Arabidopsis thaliana: one gene and its partners. The protein of the gene in region 2 interacts with the protein of the main gene of each other region in a pairwise test. Each region holds a gene or a part of one and is shown on either strand. Other genes may lie near its edges. The genes, in order: ARR6, ZF3 and AT5G51190.

Region 1 (3,762 bases), 7.9 Mb from region 2:
CAGTCACGGAATTTGCATCGGAGAGCTCAGATCTTTGCGCGTTTGAGCTGCGAGTGAACAGGGTAGACATTCTCTGTTTCTAGCTCTCTCTTCTGAATACTCTTTGTGAAAGACAAATCTTCAACCTTCATTAGAGAATCTCTTAATCTTTTTACATCCGAGAGTTTTACCGGCTTCAGTAAGAAATCTTCAGCCCCTTCTTCAAGACATCTGAATGACAAAATAATAATCACAAGAAAATCAGTTTGAGTAAACTCCAATTTCAATAAAGTTGATGATAGCTTTGGATCAATAAGTTTTTTTTTTGTTGTATATGTAGCAAACAATCATAAAATGGCCAGTTCGTAATTGAGTTGGCCATTGTGTGTAACACAAATACATATTCCTTTTTATTTTATTTGGTCTAGAGGTTTCCTAATATTGTATGCAAAGTGAAAAAGCATGTGAGGTGGCTTTCACAATACCCTACCAAATATTAGGCAAGCAAGATCATGTACTTATTTTATTGTAATATCACATCACCAGAAATAGAATCAAATCCCAAAGTAAAGATTTTGCTGGTTAGAAACATCTTTATACACAAAATCATCTTGGGACCCATTAAAGATCACCAAATCTCAACATTTGTTTAATTATGCAATATCCACCACCAAAAATGGTTTAAGGAAATTAACTTTTAACCATATGAGCAGGAACTTTACTTTGTGATCTAATCCCTTTTTGTTTTATCTAATTCTTTTTTTGATCATCTAAGACAAAGATATTCACCAAATTTACTATAGTTTGACTTAAGATTATGATGAAGTTTTATACCTATCAATACGAGGCAAAATGTTCTCGGAGGACATAATTACCACCGGTACTTCTCTAAAAGCTGAGGATTCCTGTGGAAAATCACGTAAAAAAGGATTAGATAAACATAAAACTCAAATTCCATTGACTAATTATATCATTATATGTTTGTTTGCTTACTTTGATCTTCTTCAAGAGTTCATATCCAGTCATACCGGGCATTGAGTAATCAGTCATAATTAAATTAACCTTCAAATCCTGAAGCACAAATCACGATTTAACATATTGCTTGAGAGCTACGGCAAAATTTTGTTTTCTCTTGGAAATTGTTTTATACCTCAAAACCGACTGATTTTTCCTCAACATCCAAACCAAGGTATTGGAGAGCTCTTGTTGCACTATCAACAACAGTAACTGAACAACCAAAACAGAGCTTTTTACTCAGATAACTTGCCCGAATTCAGAGACTGATTTTTCAAAATATGAGTAATAATTACCTTTGCAAGAAGATACTCTGAGCAAACGCTCGATGAATTTACGATCAACGTGACTGTCGTCGACGGCAAGAACATGAAGAGGATCCGGTGATCCAAACTTTGAAGAATGGTTGAGAATCTCCATCTTCCTCGGTAGCATAACTTCAGCCATTGATCAACGAATGTTGGAGGATTTGGAAGAAAAAGGAAGAGAAAGATATGATGTGAAACCATGGTGGCAGTGGTTGGGCCATTTATATAAGTAGAAAGAAAGAAAGAAAGAAATAAAAGAGGGAAAAAATATGAATGAAATCGAGAGATTTTGCATATCTTTAAGATTTTGTCAATTTGCTTTCAAAATCTTTATTTTATATTTTATATAAATAATAGTTCGGTGGATTTTTATTATTAAATAAGTTAAAACAAAAAACCGAAATAAAGTCAAACCAATCGGTTCAAGTTTAGTCAAAACGAAGAACAAACCAGAAAATTTGGAATGGGATGCAAGATTTAACCGACCCAAACCGATATTCAATAACTTGTAGAATTCTTTTTTTATTTTTAAATTATTTGTGTGTGTTTGTAGTTTTTTTTGGTAAAAGTGTGTTTGTAGTTGAATTGTGGAAGTTCACGCATTTAACTTCTACACTTCAATACTTCATCTACGTAGAAGTTCACTTTGAGGTTTTGACTTAAGCTCAAGACAGAAAAATGTGAAATCAAGAAATCATAAACTAATACTAAAACATTACACGCATCCTTAATCTACAATTAGTAAAACCTCTTTAGATTACCACCTTTTCATTCACCAAAAATATAACAAATTAATACTAAAGGCCCGGCCCATATGATTTGGCCCAGAAGAGACTTTAAGTTTCCTAATACAGTTAACGGTTTACTCAGTGAACCGGAGGGAGACAGCGAGATGAGGCCGGAGATAGTTCTGTTCGGCGACTCGATCACGGCGCAGTCTTTTAGGTCCGGCGGTTGGGGATCTGCTCTTGCCGACGCTTACTCTCGCAAGGCTGATGTTGTGGTTCGAGGCTACGGCGGCTACAACACCCGATGGGCTCTCTTCTTGCTTCATCACATCTTCCCTCTCGTCAGTACTTTTTATCTCTCTCTCCCTCCCTCGAGTCTACAAATGTTGATTTGAAATTTGATCTAAACACGAACGAATTTTGGTAGTCATTGGGATGATTTTGTTCATGAGCTGTTGTGATTGTGTGTATGATCTGTGTGGATATAGATCTTGAGTTATTGTCTCTTGTGCATCATTTTTTGTTTTGCTTATGCTTGTTATGGTTCAGTTCTGAATGGTTTTGATATGATTCTAGGATGTGTTGGTTTTATGACATTGTCATGGATTGGTTGAAGTACGAAAGATTTAGATTTGAATTTTGAGATGGTAAAAGGCAATTACATCTGCATATATCATGAGAACTCTTCTTGTAGTGCGTGTTGTTTTGGTGTGCCTATCTCAGTATGTGTTCTACTCTGTCTTTTTGCCTAGGGCTCTTCGTCTCCTCCTGTTGCTACGACGATATTCTTCGGTGCAAACGATGCAGCTCTCAAAGGAAGAACCAGTGATAGACAACATGTGCCGGTGGAAGAGTACACAGATAATGTCAGAAAGATTGTTCAGCATTTGAAGGTTTTGATATGCTTCTTTGATCCACTCTAATGCATGGACTTACTTTTCTTGAAGTGTGATTCCTTTAAAGACTAATGACTCTGTTTTGTAGAAATGTTCACCTACAATGCTAATTGTGCTTATAACTCCACCACCAATTGATGAAGCTGGACGTCAAAGTTATGCAGAGTAGGCTTTATTATGATCCTTTTCTTCTTTGCATTTTTGTTTCTCAAAGCATTTAGTCCGACATGTTTCTTAAATGAGCCAGTGATTGTGTTACATCAGATCAATCTACGGTGAGAAAGCTATGAAAGAGCCTGAGAGAACAAACGAAACAACAGGGGTATATGCACAACATTGTGTTGCATTGGCCGAGGAACTCGGTCTGCGATGTGTCAACTTATGGTCTAAGATGCAGGAAACCAATGATTGGCAGAAAAAGTACCTAAGGTCTGTATCTAAGTCTGATCTGAAATGTTGTTGGTTTTTCACAAACACTCATCTCCTCCTCAATCATGTTTGTTGTTTATAAATGGTTCTTGCTCGTTGTTGTTGGCTATAAGCAGTGATGGGCTCCATCTCACGCCTGAAGGCAATGGGGTAGTTTTTGATGAAGTCTCGAGAGTTTTTAGAGAAGCTTGGCTCTCTCCCGAAGAAATGCCGTTTGATTTCCCCCATCATTCGCATATCGATGGTAAAAACCCATCGAAAGCTTTTGAAGAGCGTTGCTTATAACGATCATCCCCAAATTCATGAGCAGGTTTGTTTTGATTTAAATTCATGAACACGTTTCAATGTTGTGATTTAGAAAACTCTCGGATGTGAATAAATACCTAAAAAGTGCATCATCACTAGAGA
Region 2 (2,947 bases):
TGATTCAAATTCCTATAATACATATTGTTAAAAGATAATGAACAAAGTAATAGTAGAAGACCAAAGGACGGCACGGAATAATTTGAGATTCCGACAAGATCAGATTCACACTCGTTTGCTTGTCTTAAGATCACCCTTACAGAGACAGATAAAATTTAATAAGTCAAAAGTCATTGTCCATAATAAAAACAAAGAAACACAGCTCGGAAATGTATTCTTGTCTCTAAGTTTGAGTTAAGGTACAATGCATTAATCTCACCGATTAGCTATTCATTGGTTGTTAGATCTATTTTTTCAACATCCCGTTACTAGATTAATTATAAAGTTTTTTCTTTCTAAAGATTACACACAAGTTTATACTAGATGTTGTTAAGCTATTGATGATTCAACCATGCATAATCTGTTACCGACGATTCTCCCATTGCAACATAACCCAAAAGGTCCCCCTTCCGCTTGTGAAAGGAAAAACTAAAGGTTTAGAGATATATGCACACATTATATTCGTGAAAGCACATGCATGACCCATATGTTTTTCAAGAGTTTACGAAGGTCATCGTTGCTCAGGCCACCAAACTTTGCTGGTATATCTGCTTCGGTAGCTTGTCTTAAACTCGTTAGTTGCAGCAAGCCTAAGAATCATTACACTTCATTAGGCTTTTCGTTTTTAGGCATCTAACATGATGTGTCTTTTAGATCTCGTAATGTGAGAAAAGAGAGAGAGATAGGTTACTCTTAGAGAATTAGGTTAATTAATTGTTGGAAATTATTTTTTAGTTAGCATAAAGACCTAATTATATAAGTAATTATACAATCTATATTATAACGTAAATAGCTAGTAAAAATGATACAACTTAGATTCTAACCTAAACGTGAAAAAAGCACCCATAATCCTAACTTTAAAAGAAAAGTCCCAAAACCTTATACTAAAGAGAAGACCATTAAACCAAAACTCTTATACCGTATCATGACACAAGTTGTTGAATCCAATTTAGTGTAACTTCAACTCTAGACATTCACGCATTTGAATTAAAACCAATAAAGAAAATTTCATGATTCTTGGTTGCAATGGGCTGTGGGAATTAAGTTATAAGCTCTTTGTTTCTTGTTGTCATGAGTTCTCTACCGAAACATCCAATCATCTTTTATATTCAAGGTTTCCTCATTATAATCTTAATCTACACACATTGCCTCCGTTTTCAAATGTTTGGACCAAGTAATGAATGCTATTGGGTTTGTTCAGAAATTCCCAAAGGTACAACAAACCTACACTTAAATAAATAACTACATATATAAGCAAAGTGTTAAAACATAAATGAAAAGCTAGATGAATATTAATTGTAAAATACGGCCTAAGTTTAGAGACAAGGTTTTTATTAGTTTTAAAGAATCAATCATTATTGTGTGTAGTTGGATTCAAATGTCAACTCTCAACTAGTCAGAAGAAGAGTATATAGCCCGACTTGTGTAACATTTCTCTCCCCCACAAAACGTGCCAAAATTAATATATTCCACTCTCACCAAATGTTGAAATAATATTTTAATTATACATTCACTTTCGTTACAACTTACAACAAACAACTTGCTCAGCACATATTTCGTTTCAACTAAATACTTAAAATAATTAGAATGGCCAATTTGGCCACCCACTCTCACTCTTCTTTCTCACGCAACTTCCTCTCTTCTCAAGATTCTTCTCCATACTTCACCTTCTTCTATATATCTCTCTGCTCTCAAATTAGGTTTTAAATTTTCTATAGCAATGGCGCTTGAAGCTCTTAATTCACCAAGATTGGTCGAGGATCCCTTAAGATTCAATGGCGTTGAGCAGTGGACCAAATGTAAGAAACGATCCAAACGTTCGAGATCTGATCTTCATCATAACCACCGTCTCACTGAGGAAGAGTATCTAGCTTTCTGTCTCATGCTTCTTGCTCGGGATGGCGGCGATCTTGACTCTGTGACGGTTGCGGAGAAGCCGAGTTATAAGTGTGGCGTTTGTTACAAGACGTTTTCGTCTTACCAAGCTCTCGGCGGTCATAAAGCGAGCCACCGGAGCTTATACGGTGGTGGAGAGAATGATAAATCGACACCATCCACCGCCGTGAAATCTCACGTTTGTTCGGTTTGCGGGAAATCTTTCGCCACCGGTCAAGCTCTCGGCGGCCACAAGCGGTGCCACTACGATGGTGGCGTTTCGAACTCGGAAGGTGTGGGGTCTACTAGCCACGTCAGCAGTAGTAGCCACCGTGGATTTGACCTTAATATTATACCGGTGCAGGGATTTTCGCCGGACGACGAAGTGATGAGTCCGATGGCGACTAAGAAGCCTCGCCTGAAGTAAGTCTTTGTTGAAGACCTGGAAGTTTATCAAATGTAAATATCAAATTTCAATTTCAAGGAACAGTTTTGTTGATTCTATTACCAATACACAATACGATTCAATTCCTTTGTTTCTGAAGTAACAGCATACTAAATTCATTAGAAAACCGAATCGAAAATATTTACAACTGACTTTTGTTTGGTTGTTAAACTATCAAGTGAATTTGGCCTCTCTATTTGAATTAGATGATCTCCTTACATTCTCATAACTCCAAAATTGCCGATAATGAGTAGCTTTCTTACTTACACTCTGTTTTGTTAACTTTGCCACCTTACTATTGTAGCTGTGTAACCTGTGTCCTCAAACTGCATTCTGTTACCTGCATAGTTTAGAGATTAATCCCCAACACTGTAGGTATAGTGCAGACAAATCTATAATGAATTTGAGATATTGTACCTGCAGAGCTGAGATTGTGTTTAGAAGGTCCCGGCACACGTCGAGCATCCCTTCGTCCTTGGCATTCACACGGCCAAGTTCTGCTGCCAAGCTACTTATTTTCCCAACCTGGGATATTGGCTTTCACTTTGAAGATACAATATGAATAAAACGCAATAGAAGATTGTGCCA
Region 3 (3,319 bases), 3.5 Mb from region 2:
CGATCATTTCCATGCTTAAATCAGTAAACTTTTCATCACCCAAGAGTTTGGGACACGACATTAAGGACTCAAATTTCTTATAGTAGAGCAACAATTTTCCAGCTGGACGTTTATATGTCACGTAGTTGTTTACACTATAAAATCATCTCATTTTGTCTGTAATTGCACAGGTAGCAAGACGTCAATTATGACCAATGTATTTGATACATGGTATTAGCAAAGCAAATTGTTCAATTCAATTGTATCATGTATTCACAAATATTTTGCAATGGAAGCTTTGTGCCTATATATTTTTTTTACTTGGAAGAATTCCTACCGACTGAGTTTGTGGTGTCATTTGATAATCAACGTCTTAACATTCTCAGGGTGAAGGACTAAAATGCAATCAGTACACTTTCATCTTCAGTATTTCTCTCTGGTTGTTTCCTTTGATTTGGTGACTTGAAATAGTCTACGTAATCTTGCCATGTTGTATGACGTGAACATGTTACAACCTTAGCATCAAGTACATCTGGAAGTCGAAGCTCTGGTGGAGCATTAGTTTTCTCTTCTATTTGTGCGTCTTGAACATTCTGTATCTCTTTAGGCTGGACATTGATAGTGATCTAGCAAAGACAGGTTTGTTGGTTTAAGACCTCCCTAAGTTTTTGTAAGTTTGAGCTCGTTTAAGGAAGGGTAGAAAGAATTGCATTTAAGAAGAATGAATGAATATAGTAAAACATTTTTTTACAATCAGCTAATCTAGAAGCTTTGAAAACAATCCAATGTTGATTTTTTCCAGTTTGACCCTCTGAAGCTTAAGTAACTACGAGTTGAGAGTGTCCAAGAGATGGACAAGGAGATAACAGAGGCACGGAAAATATTCCCATGTCTTTACTGTCTGCTCCGTCCCAAAACCCCTTCCAACTTGATGGCGTTAATGGACAAGCATCAGCCTGAACCTGAGCTTCTTCCCTCTTAACAGCTTTACGGCTGATCAGCTGGCTTTCATCCTCCGTCACCTGTCTCTTCCTCTTTGCTTTTAAAGAAATAGTCTTCTTGTTGTCTCCCAAGTCCTCATGCTTTCCTGCTTCAAGTGGGAAGTTAAGAATAGCTTTGCTTCCTCGTAGTTTAAAAGCTGCCTTGTCATAACCTCTTGCAGCTTCCATGGCTGTGTCAAAAGTGCCTAACCAGACACGAACACCTTTCTTGTTTGGGTCTCTGATCTCAGCCGCATACTTACCCCATGGTCTTCTCCTGACGCCTCTGTAATGCCTTTGATCATTCTCTTGAACCACCGGTGCAGTAGTAGGAACTGCTATAGTGGCAAGAGGTGGTTTGCGTTGGCTTAGAGTTGAGGTGGTGCAGTGGTGGATGGTGGAGGCAAAGGTGTCTAAGGAAGGGAAATCAGTAAGAAGGTGTTGGGTTATGAGATCTAAAGCTGACTGGTCTTGTTCTTGCTGTTGTTGATGTGAAGAAGCCATAGATGATGAATTATGTTGGAGTCTTCTTTGTGGTTTTGATTATGGATTTTGGTTTTTGAGATTGGAGGTTATATATAAAAGTGGGATTGAGAGGTTTCGTAGCTAGCTTCTTGGGTTGGAGAGAGGAAGGATCCTTTTCAATTGTTTTGACTTGTTTAGTTCTATTGTTGCTTTGGAGTGTGGCAAGTGGACTACTCTATCATTTATTATTTTAAGATAATGAAGGATTTGTGGCTATGTCTTTTTCTTGCGAGGGTCCATCATCATAGCTATTGTCTATTTCCAGGCTTCTTCATATCCCAGACACAAATTAAAAATGTTTTTCTGAGAGATATTTGAAAGAAAAATTGACACTTTTTTCTTACTTTTAAGGGTAAAGTTTAGTTATATTTTGGAAAAGGTGGATGCACGAATGTGTATGTGTCCACTTGACTATGTGCCTATGTTAGATGGTATTGCTGCCTTGGATTCTCGTTTGGGCACACTGTGGATTATATGATTTGGCCGCAATATTTGAAACTTATGTTTTTTTTCGTTTAATTGTTTGAAACTTTTATTCAATTTAAGTTACTTCATTTTTGTTTCTTTGTTGTTTATATAGACCAACTTGCCTATTTTGAACAATGAAAGTTTGAATTTCCTGCATGCAAGTTATATAGAACAACTTGCCAAATAAATCAGATTAGAAGATGTTCAATAAATTCATGGTCAAGCTTTGAAAAACTCCGGCCCCCACAAGAGTATAAACAAAATGCTGGAAATAAAAGTTTTACGAGGAGCATTTCACGAATGTTGGTTAATCACAAAAGTCTTAATTACTTACTTCAAAAATTCTTGTTGACGAACAACAATGAAAAGAAAAAAGATACAAGATTTTTTGTCACCATGCATAGGCCCGAATAATATACAGAAACGCAAGATGGATACAAATGCCAAGGACACCGGGTAAGTCGGAGAAGTGCTGGTCGAGAGGACCTACAAACATAGGCGGAGAAGAGCTAAGGGTAGAATTAACTTCATTAAAACAATTACCACCAAAATAAGAAACATTGGATGAGAATCTAACTCCTACACTAGGTGCTCGACATTTGGATACGCATGTCGGATTTGGTTTTTTTAAGTAAAGAAATTTAGGATCCAATAAGATATATATAAAAAACGGGTTTGGTATCGATTCGGATTTGGGTCGAATTTAAGATTTCATAACCTATAAACTCGGTACTTTTCAGTTCAAATGTTTTTCTATCTGATTGTACCTGATTACTCGAAGTTTTACTTGATTAACTGATATTATATCCGATTATCCGAAATTTTTACCTAGTTATCCGAAATATTATCAGATTTTCCAAAATATTGTCCGATTTTCCGATGTAAGTAAAGCTTCTATCCATATAAGTGTAGCTAATTTTGGGTAATCGGGTTACTCGTTCGGGTATCGGGTAATACCCGAAGCGACCTGATACCCAAGATTACAATTACATAGGATCCAATAGGTAAATTAGTTATATCCTACTTGACCCAAACCGGTTTTTTGGGTTGGTTTCGATTCGGGTTTTCAGTTTCATTCATCCACTTCTGTTAATTTGTTAAATCTTTGAAGTTCAGAAAACACAAGGAGTAAGATTAGTGTTGGAAAACTAGACCAGATTCATTCGCATTCAACTCACGCCGTCGATCAAAGGTATCTGGCGACTCCAATTTTGCCTCCACATAGTCTCAAACCGATAAATGATCACTTCTCCAAATAACCTAAAATAGCTGCCCAGTAAAAAAAATCCCTAAACCCAACAACCAAATCACCACGATCACACCACCATCCAGACTTGCTAGACGCAAAAAAGTCATCGTGAGTTTCA

The links.
Region 1: the proteins of ZF3 (region 2) and ARR6 interact in a two-hybrid assay, tested with the Arabidopsis thaliana proteins (one large-scale study listed by BioGRID).
Region 3: the proteins of ZF3 (region 2) and AT5G51190 interact in a two-hybrid assay, tested with the Arabidopsis thaliana proteins (one large-scale study listed by BioGRID).

What each region holds. Positions count from the first base shown.
Region 1 is NC_003076.8:25,252,719-25,256,480, forward strand, and holds the start of ARR6 (response regulator 6), read right to left. Parts: upstream 1,601-3,762; 5' UTR 1,441-1,600; coding exon 1,290-1,440; intron 1,207-1,289; coding exon 1,130-1,206; intron 1,051-1,129; coding exon 973-1,050; intron 885-972; coding exon 814-884; intron 211-813; coding exon 27-210; 3' UTR 1-26. Other genes in the region: AT5G62930 (SGNH hydrolase-type esterase superfamily protein), read left to right, coding at 2,116-2,370, 2,782-2,922, 3,014-3,090, 3,190-3,354, 3,471-3,639. UniProt on the Arabidopsis thaliana protein: Functions as a response regulator involved in His-to-Asp phosphorelay signal transduction system. Phosphorylation of the Asp residue in the receiver domain activates the ability of the protein to promote the transcription of target genes.
Region 2 is NC_003076.8:17,330,444-17,333,390, reverse strand, and holds ZF3 (zinc-finger protein 3), read left to right. Parts: upstream 1-1,744; 5' UTR 1,745-1,759; coding exon 1,760-2,341; 3' UTR 2,342-2,446; downstream 2,447-2,947. Other genes in the region: QWRF9 (QWRF motif protein (DUF566)), read right to left, coding at 2,655-2,699, 2,777-2,884. UniProt on the Arabidopsis thaliana protein: Transcriptional repressor probably involved in abiotic stress responses. Binds DNA in a sequence-specific manner and can repress the transactivation activity of other transcription factors.
Region 3 is NC_003076.8:20,799,911-20,803,229, forward strand, and holds AT5G51190 (Integrase-type DNA-binding superfamily protein), read right to left. Parts: upstream 1,528-3,319; 5' UTR 1,464-1,527; coding exon 798-1,463; 3' UTR 563-797; downstream 1-562. Other genes in the region: AT5G51180 (alpha/beta-Hydrolases superfamily protein), read left to right, coding at 1-19; AT5G51195 (Ta11-like non-LTR retrotransposon), read right to left, coding at 3,196-3,319.